Caenorhabditis elegans: one gene and its partner. The protein of the gene in region 1 purifies or fractionates together with the protein of each later gene. This does not show direct contact. Each region holds a gene or a part of one and is shown on either strand. Other genes may lie near its edges.

Evidence for each region. Proteins that work in one complex are often made in the same cells at the same time.
Region 2: the proteins of rps-17 (region 1) and eef-1B.1 fractionate together in Caenorhabditis elegans (co-fractionation; one large-scale study listed by BioGRID). This does not show direct contact.

Annotation. Positions count from the first base shown.
Region 1 is NC_003279.8:6,216,772-6,226,728, reverse strand, and holds rps-17 (Small ribosomal subunit protein eS17), read left to right. Parts: upstream 1-5,964; 5' UTR 5,965-5,978; coding exon 5,979-6,133; intron 6,134-6,180; coding exon 6,181-6,361; intron 6,362-6,523; coding exon 6,524-6,580; 3' UTR 6,581-6,636; downstream 6,637-9,957. Other genes in the region: T08B2.4 (PINc domain-containing protein), read right to left, coding at 765-1,024, 1,072-1,171; T08B2.11 (HUN domain-containing protein), read left to right, coding at 3,856-3,923, 3,970-4,159, 4,209-4,298, 4,349-4,555, 4,611-4,918, 4,966-5,078, 5,126-5,319, 5,364-5,444; rbm-5 (RNA-binding protein 5), read right to left, coding at 6,892-7,034, 7,080-7,413, 7,473-7,753, 7,803-8,165, 8,214-8,376, 8,420-8,499, 8,545-8,661, 8,705-8,911 and 5 more.
Region 2 is NC_003281.10:7,967,918-7,978,004, reverse strand, and holds eef-1B.1 (putative elongation factor 1-beta/1-delta 1), read left to right. Parts: upstream 1-4,618; 5' UTR 4,619-4,734; coding exon 4,735-4,811; intron 4,812-4,929; coding exon 4,930-5,360; intron 5,361-5,407; coding exon 5,408-5,541; 3' UTR 5,542-5,623; downstream 5,624-10,087. Other genes in the region: C06G4.4 (uncharacterized protein), read left to right, coding at 312-638, 693-755; aco-2 (putative aconitate hydratase, mitochondrial), read right to left, coding at 1,047-1,312, 1,386-1,907, 1,967-3,089, 3,159-3,417, 4,073-4,158, 4,203-4,280; F54H12.5 (uncharacterized protein), read left to right, coding at 5,903-6,036, 6,081-6,275, 6,853-7,153, 7,197-7,580; F54H12.7 (ADP-ribosylation factor-like protein 6-interacting protein 4), read right to left, coding at 7,772-8,065, 8,501-8,644; F54H12.8 (Envelope glycoprotein B), read left to right, coding at 8,830-8,901, 9,009-9,425, 9,491-9,757, 9,800-9,888. UniProt on the Caenorhabditis elegans protein: EF-1-beta and EF-1-delta stimulate the exchange of GDP bound to EF-1-alpha to GTP.

The DNA of each region.
Region 1 (9,957 bases):
CGAATTTGTCGACAAATCAATTTGCCGAACGGCAATTGCCGCCCACCCTTGATTCATATAAAAAACGTAGGTATGTTAGAACTGGTATGATGTAAAATAAGATCAGCCTATATCTCCGTGCGAAAAATTTCTATAACAAAATGACCAACTAAAATTTGGTAGTTCTCATTGTGAAGAACAACTTTGTAGTGAAAAGCTTTCCACCAAAAAATTGCTGACCGATATAAAACTGCTTGAAGTGTGTAACTTCATGTTTAAATTGTGTTCCTATTGTAATATTTATATCTCGGTCAGAAAATTTTTGATAGAAAACGTACAAGGTTAAAAAACGAAATTTCATTTTGTCATTTTGTCATAGAAATTTTTTTTACAGAGATATACACTTAACAAGTGAACTGGTTTTACAAAATACCAGTTCTACTAATCGTGTTCTGAACATGGAGTAACAACAAGTTTTGCACTTTTCTATAAATCAATATTTGAAGTTGTTGAAAAAAATTATGAAAATTTTTATCAAATATTATAGTCTCATGTTTACTTAGTTGTTTCTGTGCAATTTCTGGTAAAATTCGTTGCTTTCATATTATTTCGATTTTTCGATGTTTTTTCAGTGAAAATAGAAAAATCGAAAATCGAAAAAAATTTATTTGAAACGGAAAAAGGGAAAAAATAGTTTTAAAAAGTGTTAATAATTTTTAGAGATGGAGCAATTTCAAAAGTAGAAGAAAAACACAAATTCGAAGGCAATGTTTAAAACCTCGAATTCAATATTGGTATGCTAGATTTGTGACAGATTTTGCAAGAAAAGCCTCGGAAATTTTTTTATGGTTACAATTTTTCGAATAGCATTTTTTTTGATTTTTAAAAAATTTACCACGTAATCCAATTGACTCGTAGCGATTCCTCGAAAGCACCATGATCCGGTGTGGTTGGAGATGGGTGGTGGGAGATGACTCTGAACGCATGCGGCGATCCGTGAATACTTTCTTCGAGTGTTCCATACACGATTGAATGTATTCGTATACTGCAATATGAAGAGCGATGGAATGAACAAGGTTTCTAATAACTTACCTGACAGATCCACTCTTTGTGCCAAATAATGATCCGCCTCAAACGGATCATTTGTCAACACGAGAGTCAGTTCGACTTGTTGAAGATAGTGAATAAGCATCACAATCCAAGCATATGAAGTTAGGGATCCATTTGATACATCTTCAACTCCACATCGCCTTGCCAGGGCCTTCAGCCAAACTCCGAGAGTCAGTAGTTGTTCGGGATCCTACTTGAAGAATTGTTGTAAAAGCTGAGTATTGTTGAGAGTCAAATCATTCTTGTAACTGATGCGCGTTTGAGCTTTTCCAGCGGTTCTTGTTGAAATATAAATTTTGAGTAAGAATCAACAAAGTAAAAAAAATGCAATTACGAGGAGGCGTAAAGTTCAATCAAATAAATGTTCAAAAGCATGATGAAAGTTTTCATAAAAGATATATCGTAATTTCGCAACATTTTGAAATTTCACTTAAAAGGGGGCACTCGGTTTTTCTCCCGACGATATATTAAACAGGATTACGCGTAATTTTCTATTAAAATTTGAAAGATTAAAACATGATTAAACTGTTTTATCAGTGCAAAACGGGAAACTGAACAAAATACCGTACTTTAGAACTAGACGCGAAAGCTGTTTCCTGAGTCATCGGCAAAACAACTGAAGTTTCGACTATTTTTAAATGTTACAGTCAGTAAATCAATGTTTTTACAGACGTCGAAATATATGTTTCAAGACAAAAATTCTAAAAAATCTAGCAAAATCACTTCAAAAAATGAATAAAATTCAAAATCGATGAATATCGAAATGTTAATTAATTAATCGTCCGAGAGGATTACACGAGTTGTCCGAGAGAAGTACACGGCGGAGAATGAAAATCTTTCCGCGCGAGATTTAAATTCGAATTTTATACAATAAATTTCAAGCAAAAAACTTTCAAATTATCTAATCACAAAAACTCAGCGGAAAATTTTCCGAAGATAGAGAAGGTGGAAACCTTAATTTCTTCAGTAACAATTTAAAACAGAACATTGAACGGAATTGGAATGAATTATCGTTTTTTTCAGCAAAAATTCGTTTTTAGGTTCACTCCAGATAAATATCGTGACTTTTCACAACGGAAAAACAATGAAAAACAGGGGAATTACAAAATAAACTGCGAAAAATAAAATAAATTGCCTAAAATATTTGTATCGATTATTGTTCCTTCTTTTTCGCCAATCGTGTTTCACGCATGCTACATGCATGCGTGGCGAAAAGGGAGGCACTTTCGCCTCTCGTGCGTCACGCATGCTTCACACATGCGTCCGAGGCTCGCTTTTCGCTACGCGTCCAATACGCGCCTCATACGCGCCTCAAAGCGTCACGCATGAAACGCGAATCACCTGTGTGGTGGTGGTGGCGCGCGTTGTTTCTTCGATAAGTTAAGGAAAATTAGATGAACTGAGTAGAGGGAATGTATTTTGAAGTCTTGAACGGCTTGATATCAAGGTTTTTCATTTGAAAAAGTTTGTTAACCGCTTTCGTTAATCTTAGCCTCTCCTCTCTCTAACCAATAGAAGAGAACAAAGATTTTTTTAGTCTCAGAAAATTTGGAAAAGAGTTTTTTCTAAAAAAAAAAATCGTTAAATCATACTTTTTGGTTGCTGGAAGTGTGAATTAAAGTATTTTGTATCAAAATGTAAATGCTAGGAAAAGTAATTATATTTAACTATGGTCTGCGGGTTGGCACAAAACAGACGTAAAATACAAAATTCATGAAAACTTTAAAAGTACGGTATTGACTGTTTCCGCTTTTCGCAGCAAGAGCTCTAGTATCATTTGTGTGAAATGATATAATTTTTCCACAAATTATACCGAAAAAAGTAATGGTTTGTAGGAGTTAATTTAAATTAATAGAATATGTTATTTCGTTGTTTGTAACCATCGAAGTTGTCACAGTTGTAGCCGTGAAATTTCTTGCCGGATTTTGAAAAAAAAAAGTGTTTCTGAAAAAAACATTACCAGTTGGAGACTTTTCGGAGATTCGTCAAAGTCAGTCAGCGGACATCATCTTTAGATTATTATTTGCAGGAGATAATTCTTATTTTCAAATCATAATTTTATTTTAAAACTTTTTAAAGGTCTTCAATTTTAATTTAAAAAATTTTAAGCCCTACGCGTTTGCACTTTCCGTTTTCTTCTTATTTATTTATTTATTTTAATACGCCCATTTCTCGTGAGATTTCTAATCCAATATGGTCGAAATCTAATCAAATATGGCTGAGATCGTGCCATATTGGATTAGATTTCGACCATATTGGATTAGATTTGTTTTCTAATGAAATATGGAGGAAATCTAATCTAACATGGATTTCTAATCTAATCTACTATGGAGCAAATTTAATGCAATATGGATTTTCTAAACAAATATGGTTGAAATCTCGTTTAATATGGTTGAAATCTAATTAAGCTACTAAGCGTTTGTCTGAGTAAGTAAAATGAATAAGTACGAAATAGTATTGAAAACTAGGAGGGCGCAGAGAAAAATTTTCAGATAGCGATTTCAGGGGTTCAGAGTTGAGTTCCGCCGCTGAAATTTTTGTGGTGATCTAGTCTAAACATAAGCTTCCAAATGACATACGTCTCAATTTAAAGTCCGGGACTAGATTGGCTTCCTTTCCTTGTTAGGTATAATTAGTTAAAAGTTCAGAAACACGTGAAATTTATTTCCGAGAGAAAAAAACCCAAATCCGTAAAAGAAGTAATCATCTTTTGAATAATTCATTTCGCATTACGTTATTATTTTTTCAAAATTCTAATTCGTTATCATGACTTCTGTCAATCCTCCAGTCCGTCGAAGTGAAGACAAAAAAAGACGAAGAGATGGAAAAACACAGTAAGTTTCTGAAATGTTTTTTAATTTTTGTATTGAAATTTTGCAGAGCTGGTCAAAAGCGTACTTCTAGTATTCCCTCAAAATCTTCAAGTGGTGGTCTGGTGACTCCTCCTCCTCCAGTAATTGCTCCGCCTGTCGTGGTTTTACCAGTTCTGCTCCAGGCAAATCTGATAAAAGATCCTGTTGCCATGTCTCCTAATGTACCAGTGAAGGAAGGGAAAGCCACTCGTAGAAAAGTAACATGATGTGAACAGAGATTATGAAATTAATTATGTTTAATTTCAGGAGAAATCAATCGAAAAAAAAGAACATGAGCAGCCTAAGACTACACACCGCAAAAAGAAGAGCTCCCTATCAGCATCACTTGAAGGAAAAGTGAGCCAATCATCTATTTTTTCATGTTTTTATATTTATAAAATTGCCAGACATCAGGCGAAAACGAAGCGCCGAAAGCGGAGCAGAAAAAGTCTTCAACGGAATCTGGTAAGAAGCAGGTAGATCTAAATTCGGATGGATCAAAAGAGCCACCAGAAGAAGAAAAAAACAAACAAAAGTTAAACAAAGATTTGGCCAAACATTTTTTCAAGCATATTCAAGAGTCACATAAGTCGCGGAAGAAAGCAGATGATAGGGTATGTAATTTAAAACTTGTGAATATATGTAATTAAATATCAAATTGTATTTCAGCGTATAGAAGTCATGCCCGAATCGAGTCAACTAAATGTTTCTGCAAGATCTCTTCGGAAAAAGACTCAGAAAAAGCCAAAAACAGTCCTTGATTTGGAAATCTTCAAACCAAATGGAGAGCCTGTATGGGTGACTGACAAGCCGCCTAGTGAATGTGAAAAGGATGAGGACGGAGTAATAATCACAAACCCAGAATTGGCAGCTGCTCTTGCAGAAGATAATTTGGAAATGGATGAAAGGAAATATCTGGATTATGTGGAGGATTATATGTCGTGTGCAATGCCTAGAGGTCCAGCTTTACCAGAAAAGTAAGTTTATTTTTTTAATTGTCGTTTCTCAATTAATCATCTTTCAGCCATCAATTCGATCCACTCGCTACAGTTGAGAAGTTAGCGTCTAATAGTGAGTATGTTACTCAGGATACAGTAACCTATAACACTGTTAAAAATTTGTTCGATTTGAGTGAAGGTAACATAAACTGTCAGTTTTCAATCAAAATCCTCGACCTTCTTCAGATGCGATTAAACGGTTTGCTATGAAACGAGATGGACTGGATGAAAGAGCAAGAGGCATTAAAGAAATTACGGCTTCCGAAACACCAAGTACTACATCCATTGTTCCACCAAAGGATCCGGATCAGATTCAGCAGAAGACAGCTTTGACGTCGATTACATTTAATCTAATCAATAATATCGTTTTACACTATGATGTGAGTTTTTCCGTGCATTTTAAAAACAATATTTCGATTTTCAGCGCCATCATCCTATTGCCTCAATTCAAAAATGCCGCAAGAAAATCGAGCAGTGTACTCAACCGTCAATGAATAATCCATAGCTGATGACTGTTTTTCTTCTAAAATAAACGCATCTTATTCAATTTTTTGTTCAATCATATATCTTATTTCGGAATTTTACGACATAATTGTTCCTTCGGCTATTTTTTCATTTTAACACGAGGAATCTTTTTTAATCTTTCCCAATTTTTTCTAACTTCCTGAAAAATTCACCAACCAGTTCACAATTGTGCACAAGGCAAATCTCAAAACTTTGCAAAAGAATTGGAAGAGAAATTAAAGGCGCGATAATTTACGGCGTGTGGTCTCAAAGCGGCAAACACACACGCGAAACAAGTGTTACCGTATTCCACCACAGCCTCCTCTTCTGTTTTCTACATCAATCCTAAACTTTTTCGAGTTTTTAGCTGGAATTTCGTTTTTCTGTTGAACAAAAAGTCAATTTATATCAATTAATTTTTTTCTCATTCGACCTGTTCATCTATTACGTTGCGCTTCTTCGTACTTCGTTTTTATCTGTATAGTAATGTCGTTTTACATTTAAAAAATTAACTTTTCCAGAACTTCGGTTAAACATGAGTCGTGTTCGTACCAAGACCGTCAAGAAGGCTTCCCGTGTCCTCATCGAGAAGTACTACACTCGCATGACCAATGACTTCCATAACAACAAGCGCGTCTGTGACGAGGTTGCCATCATCGGAAGCAAGCCACTCAGAAACAAGATCGCTGGGTAACTCACAATTCATAATTTTTTTTCATTCAATTTCTCCATTCCAGATACATCACTCACTTGATGAGACGTATCGAGAGAGGACCAGTCAGAGGTATCTCCATCAAGCTTCAAGAAGAGGAGCGTGAGCGCAGAGACAACTACATGCCAGAGATCTCCACTGTTGATCCATCTCAACTCACCTCCATCAAGGTTGACACTGATACCAGCGACATGCTCAAGGCCGCTGTAAGTTTTCAAAAAATTAAGATTCAGTTATGGGAGTCCTGAAAGCTGCTTTGCCGGTTTTCAGGCTTTCCCTATCCAAAACGCTCGTTCGAGTGTTTCAGTTCGGTATGTCGAGGCGTTACCGGACGGAAAATATTTAAAATAAAATCCTCGTCATTTCAGGGATTCAACCTTCCAAACGTCACCGTTGAGGATCAAGGAAAGAACAAGGGAAAGTAAATATTCCCTGTGTTTAATTGTTATTGTTGTGGTGGATAATAAATATTTAATCTGCCAAAATGTGTTCTTTTTACATAGCTGATCAATTTCCAGATATATCGAGACTTGATGTCATTCCTGGATGAATCGTCTAATGGTGTTAAACCTGATTTGATTAGTGGTCTCTTTGTCGTATTAGAGTGGATGAGTTCATCCAGTTGTTGAAAAAATGTTCTTATTGTGAAGAAAAACTAATTCGTAGGCTATTAGATTTTATTTTATTTAACGGAAAACAAATAGTACACTGAAGGCGAAACATAAACTTTAGGAACTTAAGCGTCGTGATAACGACTGTAGAGTGCTTGCCGCGTCTTCTCTTTGTGACTCGCTTCTGCACCATGTCTCATTTTGGATCCAGCAGCACCCAAACCTGCTCCTTGAACAAATCGTTCAGCTTCAATCGGGTTAACAATACCTGAGAAAAACCATAATATCAAGCTTGTAAGCAATGTAGATTTACCTTGTGCATGCTTTCCAACTCCTTGTCCTTCTTTCCAGCCCATACTTTTCAGCAGTCTATTTCCGATGTTTGATTCGTCTAATGGGCGCTTCGAAGCTTCCTCACTAACTTTTCGGATGGTCTCTTCATGTCTCACCGATGTGGGTCCTGGCGGCCCACCCATCACATCGAATGCATAACCAGTGGAATCAATCCCGAACTGACGACGACGTTCTTTGGCTCTGTCCCTGTAAACGATCTTAGGGAGATCTGGAGCTGAAGCATCTTCTTCTTCTTCTTGTAATTTAGCAGCTGTTTCTCGTCCCCATTCGGCTCGCTTCGCTTCCAAATTGTTCTAAAAAAACTTTAACTAAGATTCCTGTCTAAGAACAAGGAAATAACTTTTAAACATACTCTATGCAAATCACTTTTTTCAACATGTTTCCGAAGTACTTCAACATCAGAGAATGCTCGTTTGCAGAGCATACATGTTTTCTTCGTTTCATCGTAAAGTGCTCTTTCCATAGCATCTCTAACATCTTGAAGAGTGGATTTCCGAGGAGCAAGTGGAACAGATGAAAATGAGGATGAAGTAGACGGTTCTTCAGAACGACGACCCCGAACTTCTTCCTCTTGATCCTCTTCTTCGTCATCATCAAAAAGTGCTGCAGTCTGTGCTATTCTTTTCTGTTTCTCTGAAAATGTTATTGATAAAAAGAAAATAGTTAAAATAAAGGCCATTACCATTAGAAAATACATTTTTCAATTCAATTCCTTTCGTCTCTTTTCCTTTTATAGAAATTTGAACTTTCTTTTTGTCTTTTTCTTGTCTCTTAGCCCATTTTGCCATATCTTTCACTAAATCCTGAGCTGTTTTTGGCCCTTCTTCGTTTTTCTTCATCTTTTCCTCTTCGGGGTCAGCTGAATTGATTACAGCTGGGGTTTCAACTGGGAAATAAGTATGATGAGTAAGATCCCAATTACACCATTGTGAAGTTGCATTATTGAAATAATAACCAGTTGCTGAATCGTAACAGAATTTTGTGATTGGATCTACGTAATACCCAAGATTCGGATCATGAGCGAATGTAAGCGGATTGGGTGGTACTGAAATGTTAATAATAATTGAAAATTAATATTTGAGCTTTTCCATACAGTATCTTGGCAAAAGTCCTTTCGGAGTCTGGGTCATTCCAATGACTCCATTTTGATGTTCCGGTTGAGTGGCTTGCATTGGAGGTGGAACAGACAAATTTGGTGGTGGAACACTGAAGTTTGGAGGAATCATATTAGCAGCAGGTGCAGGCAATCCAGTCATCTGAAATAGAGTTTTAGAATTTTCTATTAGAAATGTAACTTACAATTTGACCAACTTGTTGACTAGCTTGGCGCACAGCATTTGCTTTAGAAAGGGCAGCTGCAGCAATTTCAGCTCCAGTCACTAAAAAATTATAAAATTTAATATATTCTCTCCCATCAAACTCACTGTTTCCTTGAGCCAGACTTCCGGTAGCCACAGAATTCTTTCCAGGTCCCGCGGTTAGCATGGTCATTTGTTGTTGAATGAGTTTTGACATTGAATCACGACACCAGGAAACTTGAACTGAAAAAATATGGTAAAATCTTGAAATCAGCAAAAAACATACCATCTTTATCCTTAATTCGAATGGGCGATTTATATGTCAAATTGAGTAACATTTTTGCTTCATCCGCACTTTTCATTTGCAAGTACGCAAACCTTTTGGATTCCGACAATTTGATCATGCTAATCGAACTGAGACAAACCAGAGCACCGAGACTATCAAAAATAAGACTATTATTGATACCATCAGGAAGACCACGAATTAGAAGAGCTGAAAAATCAATTTGAATGTGTATGACAACTAAAGAAATTTCACGGACTGTCGCAAGGTGTCATTCCGACCATATGTGCTCCGAGTTTCTCAAGCTCCATTGACTGATCCTTTGAAATTTCACACTTGAAGCAGGTTTGACGCTTTACAAAATTGTTCATAGAGCACTGAAATTTGTTCATATTTTGATAATAGCTCAATTTTCTCGCGTACATGAGCACAAATCCAATCATCCCCTTTGTTTCCGGATCCAGCAGCAGGATCTCCCTTCGCATATTCTACAGCCAGAGTTCTTCCGTCATCCAGAGTCAACCATCCCTGAAAAGCGGATTTTGCATATAATTCAACTGAAAACCGTTTTGTACCTCGTAATCCGTCATCCACTGTTCTGCAGTTTCTCGATTAGAGAACTCAACAAAAGCAAAAGTACGAATTTGTTTTGTATTTTTATCGAATTTTGTCATGGTGCGCACGTCTTGAGGAAGGTATCCACATTTTCCCAATGAAAGTGTTATCTGAAAAATCTTTTTTTTTTTCTGAAATTTCAGCCGAGAAAACTATACCTTCGTGTTGTCCACATCATTTGGCATATTCAAAATTGCGAGTTTATTTGATGGAACTCCAGGATTCCAATCCGAATATCGATCATTATTTGAAAGATTGCTGCGGCGATCATCGCGACGCGAGTTTCTATCCTGAAAAAAAACTTAATTACTTCAATATTTTACTAGTTTTAATTTGAGGTATCATATTGTGTAACTGATTGAAAACCTTTTGAAAGAAGGTAACATCGCCATCGACCTGAAATTTAAAAGTGTTCAAATGGATAAATTCAAATTTTTCGACAAACAATTTTTATCAAGCTTGTCAAACCTCACGGATATCAACAAATTACGAAATCTTAAGAGCGCAATTTTCAAGAATTTAGAATATTTTGGAGAACAGATTTCATATGCCCATAGACAAAACCATACTCACAAGTAAACACCATAAATGACTACCCTTTCTCTATTTTTTCACCTACCCTTTCTCTGCTGTAGCTTCTG
Region 2 (10,087 bases), on another chromosome or scaffold:
GCAATGAACGAATGTTGTCTGTGCCTTTAAAAAGTACCGTAGTCAAATAAAATATCAAGCCTAGAATGAGTTCGAGATTGCAATTCACCAATGATTAGATGCAGAATATAAAAACAAACATTTAAAAATTAATCACGCGAAAAAGTATATTTCCTACGTAAAGTTTATAATATTCGGTTCAATTACTTCATCATAAAATATTCAGTTCTTCGTTTTTTATCACTCAATACAAGCTAATTGAAAAGGTGAATTTATTGGATTTATTTTTCTTTCCTAATTTTTTCTAACTTGCAGCTGAATCCACTTCGATAATGTCAGAAGCACCGAAGAGAAGCGAAAAATCTGCTGATTATAAAAAAGCGGTGGCAAAACAGCGACGCATTAAGAAACTTCGCAAAATGAAGATTAAAGATAGAGCTGGTGACGTGGTTGTCAGTGATATTTCTGACGTTGAAGTTGTTGGAAATGGTGATGAAGAATCACAGGATGATTGGTTGAATGATCTTCTGAAGAGTGATGGTGATGGTGGAAAAGCCGGACCGGTTGATCCTTCGCATCCAATGGAAACCACAACAACTGATCATTCTTCACAAAACACTCTGGCATCAAAGATCTGTGCATTCACTTATGATAACTCGGTAAATTTGGATTTAGCTTTCATTTGAGTATACTCCAATCAGTTTATTTTAAAGGCTCTTCTTGGCGTTGGAATCGTCACGGTGGCCCTCAGTATCTTCGCCCGTCTTCGTAAATGATCAATAAATGAACAAGAATAAATAGTTGTGTCTTTTCATGGAAATAAGAATCAATTACAAAAAAACGAAAACGAAACAAAACAATATCTACTCATACATAAAAACAATCTCATGGAGGTTGTGATGACTACTATGGGAAAATTGGGAATGAACTGAAGTATTTAGAAAATGTTTTTCACTTCTCTAATGAATTTTCAAAATACTTCAATTCAGTATACATTACATTACAGTTTGTTGAAAATGAGTATTTACTACAGGTTTTGAAGAGAAAATAGTTTTCCAATGAAACATTTATTTGCTCTTTGCGAATACTTCCTTCATTCTGTTGAGGGCAGATCCGGCCTTGAACCACTCGATTTGTTGCTCGTTGAAGGTGTGATTCAAGGTCACTTCCACCTTTGATCCATTGGTCTTCTTGAAAATAGCCGTAAGTGGCTTTCCTGGAGCAAAACTGGAGAGTCCGACGATAGAAACATTGTCTGATGGATCGATTTTGTCGTAGTCAGCTGGGTTGGCAAATGTGAGTGGGAGCATTCCTTGTTTCTTCAAGTTCGTCTCTGAAAAAAATAAGTTATGGCGCGTTGAGGAAATAAGCAAGGTAAATTTTATTTATTTTGAAGACTAACTGACCGTGAATACGGGCGAAGGATTTCACGATGATAGCTCTTCCTCCAAGATGACGTGGCTCAAGAGCAGCATGTTCGCGAGATGAACCCTCTCCGTAGTTCTCGTCTCCGATAGCAACCCATCTAACTCCATCAGCCTTGTATTTGCGGGCAGTGGCTGGAACGGCTCCATATTCTCCAGTAACTTGGTTCTTGACCTTGTTCATCTCTCCGTTGTCAGCATTGATAGCCGTAAGGAAAAGATTATTCGAAATGTTGTCCAAATGTCCACGATATTTGAGCCATGGTCCAGCAGCAGAAATGTGATCAGTAGTACATTTTCCGGTAACCTTGATGAGGATCTTCATATCTTCGAGGTCCTTTCCATCCCACTTGTCGAATGGAGACAAAAGTTGAAGACGATCAGAAGATGGAGATACATCAACCTGTCCGCTTCCAGATGGGGCTTGGAATGTGTCCTCTCCTGGATCGTAACCCTTTGGTGGAAGGTCGAGTCCAGTTGGAGCCTGGAGTTTGAATTTGCTTCCTGAAATGATAAACGAGGTTGAGTAATGAAAAAATATAACTATTCAAAATGTTACTAACCATCAGCGGCGGTGAGCTCATCAGTAAGTGGATTGAAGTCAAGACGTCCGGAGATGGCCATAGCAGTTGTGATATCTGGAGAAGTAACGAAACCGTGAGTGGCTGGGTTCGCATCATTTCTTCCGGTGAAGTTACGGTTGTATGATGTGACAATTGTGTTTTTTTCTCCCTTCTTCACATCCTGACGATCCCATTGTCCAATACATGGTCCACAGGCATTTGCGAGAACCATTCCTCCGAAATCAGCGAAAATCTTGGAGAGTCCGTCTCTTTCAATAGTGGCACGGACTTGCTCGGATCCTGGGGTGATGGTGAAAATGGTCTTAGCCTTGAGTCCCTTATCAAGAGCTTGTTTGGCAATGGAAGCAGCACGGGTCATGTCTTCGTATGAAGAGTTGGTGCATGATCCGATAAGTGAGACCTTTACATCGAGTGGCCATCCGTTCTTCTTGGCGTTTTCTCCAAGTTTGTCGATGGAAGAGGCAAGATCTGGAGTGAATGGTCCGTTGACATGTGGAGTAAGAGTGTCGAGGTTGATCTCGATGATTTGATCATAGTTAGCTCCATCGTCAGCAGTGAGGAGATCTTTGTACTTTCTGGCTTCTTCGGCGATTTCTTTACGTCCAGTAGCTTCCAGATACTTGTACATGCTCTCGTTGTATGGGAAGACAGATGTCGTAGCTCCGATTTCGGCTCCCATGTTGCAGATGGTTCCCATTCCAGTTGCAGAAATAGAATCCACTCCTGGGCCGAAATACTCAACAATAGCTCCAGTTCCTCCTTTGACAGTGAGGATATCAGCAACCTTCAAGATAACGTCCTTGGCAGAAGTCCATCCGTTGAGCTTTCCAGTGAGTTTGATTCCAATGACCTTCGGGCACTTGAGCTCCCATGGAATATCAGCCATAACATCTACAGCATCGGCTCCACCAACTCCAATACAAAGTCCTCCAAGTCCTCCTCCGTTAGGTGTGTGAGAATCAGTTCCGATGAGAAGAAGTCCTGGGAAAGCGTAGTTCTCAAGAATGATTTGATGGATAATTCCAGATCCTGGCTTCCAGAATCCAACTCCATATTTGCTTCCAGCAGTAGCAAGGAAGTTGAAGACTTCTTTGTTGAGGTCCTAGAAATCGAAATATATTTAGGGTGAAGAAAATTTAAGTAAAATAATTTTTTCGCAAATATCACAAACCTTAGCACGGGCCAAATCTTGGGCTCCACCCTTTTGAGCTTCAATCAAATGATCGCAATGAATAGTTGATGGAACAGCTGTCTTTGGAAGTCCGGAGCTGATGAATTGGAGCATAGCCATTTGAGCGGTAGCATCTTGCATAGCAACACGATCTGGACGAAGACGAAGGTATGAAACTCCTCTCTCAATATCTTGAGTTTTTGGTTGATCCAAATGTCCATAGAGAATCTTTTCGGAAAGCGTCAATGGACGTTTCAATCTGAAACAATATATTTTTTGTTTTTATCAGTAGAAAAACTAAAATCTATTTTTAAAGTTTTTAGTTAGACTTAACGATGTTTCCTTCATGAGTTCAAAGTACTGTCACACGGCAAATATCACCTCGGCTTCAAAGTTCGACCAGTCTGGAGACTAGAGAATGTGGTCCACATGAATTTCTATGCAACGTTCAACTAGATAATTTTCATAATTTCTATTGTGACATCACAATTAATGACACCAGAAATTAGATTTTGCATCATCAAAAGTTGAAAAGAATAGTGATGTACACTTATGAAACTGTATTATGGTCAAAACGCCCTCTCACAACATGTTGACATTAATCAGAGAACAGAGATGGAAAAGATTCGACGTTTTCTTGGTTCTCTCAATGACGCTCTAACCCATCTTCTTATTACAACGGAACTCTGTTTGTTTCTCTCTGCGACCCTTGGCTTGTGACTGCGATTTGGGTGAGCTTTCACTATTCGAGAGTTAGAAATAACATAAAAGAACCTATAACTGAACTGTATGTGTTGTAATGTCAGTGGCGCACATGACTATTCACCATAAACATCATTAATTGTATGATAACGAACAGAAAGCAGTGAAGATACTTTGTACTTGACAAGCTAAACAAATTGAACTTTACACACCTGTCTTTCACAATCTTCACAGTCTGAGATAGTTTCTCGTACGGGAGGTACGACTTCGGCTCGAATTTACTGATTGCAACTTTGCTCTGAAAACAAAAGATTTATAATAATTATGCTTAGGTTTGAATACCCAGATGGACGAAGAGGAGTGAAGTGCGCGATAATGTGCAGGTCCAGCCAAGTGGCTCAACCGAAGAAGAGAATTCATGGTTTCTCCTGTAAATTACAGAACAATGAAAGATTTTCACAGAAATTCCTGTCCGACAAAGGGAAAGAAATAGAACCTATTTAAAAAAATTAAAAGAAAGGATAATATTCATAAACACAGGCCTAAAACTTAATTTGGAACAATTAAAAAGCTTTTCTCTGCAGTAAATAACCCCTCGGAACGAAAACAAGTGATTCCGCAGCGAACCGAAAAGAAAATGATAACGCATCGGTCAGCAGAGACGGCGTGCATGCCGAAAATGAATGGGAGGAGAAATGAAAGCGCGAAACTTGGGCGCCTCCGGTCAGCAAACACGCCATTGAATGATCACTGGCGCTATGCTCGTTTGAAGGCGCATGGGGTTTCGACAGACTTTGAGTCTCGCAACGATTTTATTCACTAACCTATTTGTAGGACTTTTAGCATCATTCCTTCGTGTTTCACTCCTGAAAAGATGGTTGCCGACGTCAAGAGCCCAGCTGGACTTGCTGCTTTCAACACTACTCTCGCCGAGCAGGCTTTTGCCACTGGGTTAGTCTTTAAATTCTGAAGTTATGCAATTTTTAGGAAAAAATGCAGAAAATAGGTGTAATCAACTCTTGTAAATTTTTCAGATAGTCTATTCATTGAAATAATTTGAAAATTATAGCTTCGTCTTGTCTGGAGAGGACGCCCAACTTTTCGCCGCTCTCGGATCCGCCCCAAACGCCTCCACCTATCCAAATGTTGCCCGTTGGTACGCTAATGTAGCTTCTTACACTGATGCTGAGCGCAAGACCTGGGCTTCCGCCGGAGGATCAGCTCCAGCTGCCGCTGCTGCTGATGGAGATGACTTCGATCTTTTCGGATCCGACGATGAGGAGGAAGATGCCGAGAAGGCAAAGATCGTTGAGGAGCGTCTCGCCGCTTACGCCGAGAAGAAGGCCAAGAAGGCTGGACCAATTGCTAAATCTTCAGTCATTCTTGATGTAAAGCCATGGGACGATGAGACCGACCTCGGAGAGATGGAGAAGCTCGTTCGTTCTATCGAGATGGACGGACTTGTCTGGGGAGGAGCTAAGCTTATCCCAATTGGATACGGTTAGTGGATTGAAATTCACACAATTAAAATTTATGTAAACTTTCAGGAATCAAGAAGCTCCAGATCATCACTGTTATCGAGGATCTCAAGGTTTCGGTTGATGACCTCATCGAGAAGATCACCGGAGACTTCGAGGATCACGTCCAATCCGTCGACATTGTCGCCTTCAACAAGATCTAGAGGAATCTTTATATTTCTTGTTATGTTTTCATCAAGATAAATGAACCCATATATTGCAAAAAATGTTACAACATTGAAAGAAACACTCTGAGCATCAATAAGAAATCCTCCCGACTACGAAAGCGAAAAAAATTGTTTTTTAAAGAACTATGATTAAATTAGAAGCACAGTTCATTCTCTTCTGAAAATCGTATGAAGTCTCATAATTGCACAAAGTTACGATATAAGAATAATTGGAAGGGGTAGACTGAAGTGGGCAGGGTCACCACTATACAGTCCAGATTCCCGTTCGCAACGAGACCATATATTTTTACCTTGTGGGAAAACCAATCGATGTTTTCTAATAGTAAGTAGACCCCGCATGCTGTTCATCTCGAGATCTCTTCTCCCCATTTTGTATTTCCAGTTATTCAAAAAAATGTCACCTTTTCGTTTATTATCACTTCCTACACTTGCTTTGAAGAATGTACTTCTTCATATAGACTTTATTGATTTGTAAGTTAATACTTTATATAATAAGACAAACACCTTGAATTCAGGTTGGAACTATCACTTGCTTCGAAAAAATGTGAAATTTACATGAAAACTTGCTGCTTAAAAATTGATTCCTTGCATTTTCATTTTCGACGTATTCAACTAAACTCAAAATCCAAATCATTAGAGTTTGATTTCAATTCTGTTGTCGATATTTCTGCGTGTTCACGAAAAGTCAAGGGCAGCCGATATGACGCATGGTAAGTGTTGGGACATATAATATATGTACATATATTTCATTCAAGTTACAATTAGGTTGGTCCTCGCTTAACATCTGAGGATTCTGGCTATTTTTTCACAATAAAAACACTGCAGAATTTTTGTGACTTTAATATTTTCGAAAACAATTATTTTCTGACGCAAAATACTAAAAAATACTGTACCCCGTCTCGACCCGACAAATTTTGTTTTGTTTTCTCGCGAGATGTTTGCGCCTTTAAAGATTACTGTAACCTGAAACTTTCGTTTCTGCGGAATTTTCAATTAATTAATTTCTATAACGTTTCTATATAAATATATGTATTTATTTAGAAACTGAAAGGCAACAGTAAGAACTATTGCCTAATATGCGAAAACGATGAAAATCCCGCAGCACCGGAAGCTTGATAGTACAGTACTCTTCAAAGGCGCATGCATTCTCGCTTTCAACAAAACTTGTCGTGTCGAGACCGTTACCGTGGTTTGGCACAAAAATCGCAGAATTTCGTGTCTGGATAATACGGAAGAAATTTCCACTCCATGTGATTTCTGAAATCTCTCTCAAAAAATTGTTTCCAGGACAAAAAATTACGATGAAAGTCGAATAATTTGTATTCCAACAAACTTCGATGAAGACATCATTGCCGTATTTCAACATTTTTGGGATTTATTTCAAATCAAAAATCTCCACTATGATGTGGTGGGATTCACTGGAGTATTCCTAAATAACACCATGGCAAGACTCCCGAGTAAATTGAAAAGTTTGGAATTTGGAGATTATTTATCTGGAAATCAGGACAATATCGACACTATCTTGAATTATTACGACATCAGTGATAATCTCAAAGTTTTTGACGAAGTTTCAAAAATACATGAAAAGGTTTGTACTAGAATATTAGTTTATAATAATTCGGAAATTACAGATGAAAAAAGTGAACAATCTCTCATTAATCTGTTTACCAAGCATTCCAATTGAAGAATTGATTCAACTTGACTGTGAAACAATAAAATTATATTGGAAAGAGAATTCAGCTATTAACGCTGTAAGATCATTAATTAGCAACTGGAAGGGTAATAAAACTCGTCTGGAACATCTGGAAATATTGGCTTCTGAAGACTGGAACTTTGATTTGGTTCTAGAAGGAATGAATGCAAAACCATGGAATCCCAGAAGAAGACCATCCAATTATCAAAAAGAAGATTTAAACATTGACTGTACCAGTTATATGGACATAGAGGGAGATTGCCAAATTGCATCTATTGGAATAAGAGAAAACAGATATTTGGACTTCATTGTATGGTTTTAATGAATTTACTCATTTTTCTAATTCCTCAATTATAACTGTTCTTGAAATATCTATCTCAAAATAATTTTCGAACTTTTGATGTTCCTTCACATTTCTCATTTAGTTAGTAATGTTAAAAAACTCAAAAATTGGTTTCAGTATCAAATAAAACATTTTATTCTCTTCATAGCATTTCAAAATCGTCTAGTTCTTCAATTAGCTTTCTTTCCAGTGAATGGGCATTTTGCTCCAGCTTTTCCCTTTTTAACAATAAAATAAGTTAAAACACCAGCAAGTACAACACTGGAAATAATCGGATATTTGTAGTTATCAATAAATCCAGTAATTGATTCCCATCGAGATTGTGGCTTGGCTAAAGTTCCTGGAACCAGATTGTCAAGCCATTCCGATTGAGAAATCTCGCTTCCTGATCTGATGGATACTTTCTCGACTGTTGCACATCCAGGAATGTCTTCTTTTCGTGATGCAGGTGATACTTTCGGAACCTGAAAGATGATGTATGTATTTTTAAAAATTAGTTTTGGTCTTTAAGATGAAAAATCTCATTTTCCAATTCCAAGATCTTAGATATTAATTAATCGTGATGATAATTCTTAAGGTTGTAAAAAGAGCAAAGTCAAGGAGAGAAATTGAAAATGGAAAATCCAGATGCTCTTACTGTGTACATATGTCTTTACTGTGTACATATGTGTCTAATTGAAGCATGACAGCCTACATGGCTACCCCAGTGCCTAAATGCTTTACGAGTTCCTGTTCTCCTGTGCATCATATGCGAAATAGTTTGAGAAACCGGATGGCCTACCCAAAAACGGCTCCGAATACGAAAACCCCAGAATCCGGTCAAAAACGGAAGGTCGGTTTTACCCGGTTTGCCCACTATGGGAGTAACAATTTAGTGTCTACTCAACCAAGTGCTATACCTTTTTCTGCTTCTTCTTCGACTTTCTCGGTTTGATGACAACTCCAGTATTGCCTGATCCTTCCAAATCTTCTCTTCCACTACTCGAATTTCCACTGCTCTCACTTTTCTTCGATGAAGCTGATGATTCCTTTTTTTCAGCCATTCTTGACGATGAAATTGTACCGAAATGAATTATTTTGAAACTGATTGTTCAACTTTTGATTTTAAAAAACCACGAAAAGGCGACGTGGTTTTTTTTGTATAATTAGAACAATTTATAAATAAATAATTTAAAAAATATTATTACGAATTTTATGCGGAAGAATTTTTAAATTTAAATTTCCCGCCATGTTTTCAAAGCAGTTTTCTTGTTTTTTGTTATCAATCTTCTTTGTGACCGTGTGCGTTGTGGATTTGAAGGTTAGTTTCAGTTGCATATTTTCAGTGCATATTAGACGCCTTACGCTAGAAATTTGAAAGCCATCAAGAACTTTTGAGAGATTATTCAAAAAATATAAAACTTTCAGAAACATGCACCAACTTCTCCGAATAACTCCAAAGATCCTGCAAAAAGATTCATTGGATTCAATTCATCAGGAGCTTCTCCAACTACTCCAGAAACTACCATAAGCTCGTCTGACTCTACAAATGAATCCTCATCGATCACTTCTTCGACAGATTCTTCTACAAATTCGATGCTGCCTGAAACATCAACAATTGATCCAGGATCACAATCGTCTAGCTATTCTGGAAATTCTTTGACTGCATCATCTACAACAAGTGACCCATCAATTCCAAACCCAACACGTAAACGAATCACAAGACAACCAAATTATCCTCCATGGCAACCTCATCAACCATCAAATCCTAATCCTCCTCCATTTTCGATGAATGTTCCAGACTTTCATTGTTTTATTGATGAGAAGATGAGAGCAGAAGTTGAAGTGAGTACTTTTTATATGTTATAGAAGCAATAGAAACATTTTTTAGTTTACCCTATATTTTCCAGATATTCCATGTAATTGGCGTTCGAAATTTTGATGCTCGGTTTATGATATCTACACCACCTACCCAATTCCGTTTTTCATTTTTCGAAAAACACGGGACACCATCAGCAGTATATTCTCACTCTGATATTACTACAAATTCACCTGATCCTACAACAATTTCAAGTGATTCAACAACTTCTTCTGACAACTTTGCGGCTTTTGATTGGAATTTCTTCACAAAATCTACAGCAGCTCCAGAAACAAATTACACCACGCCTATGAATATTGTGAGTTTGAAAAGTAAAATCACAATTATTTCTATGATTCAGCCTATCTCAAAACAAGCAACTCTCGCCTGGGATCAATCGCAACAACGTTTTTATTTTGTCGTTCCTGACAACGCTTTCCGGATTTACACGTAGCGTTTTTTCAACAAAAATGAATATTTTTAGGTTAAAATATGAAAATTAATGTTTTAAAAACAACGCAAATCTTTAGAATAGATAAAAACGAATTTTTCTTTTTGTAGAATATAGTTTTCTACTATTGCTATAAATTGAATTATTGAAATATTCCACGGGGCGCTACTTACGCCAAAAATTGTATATTTTCCTGAT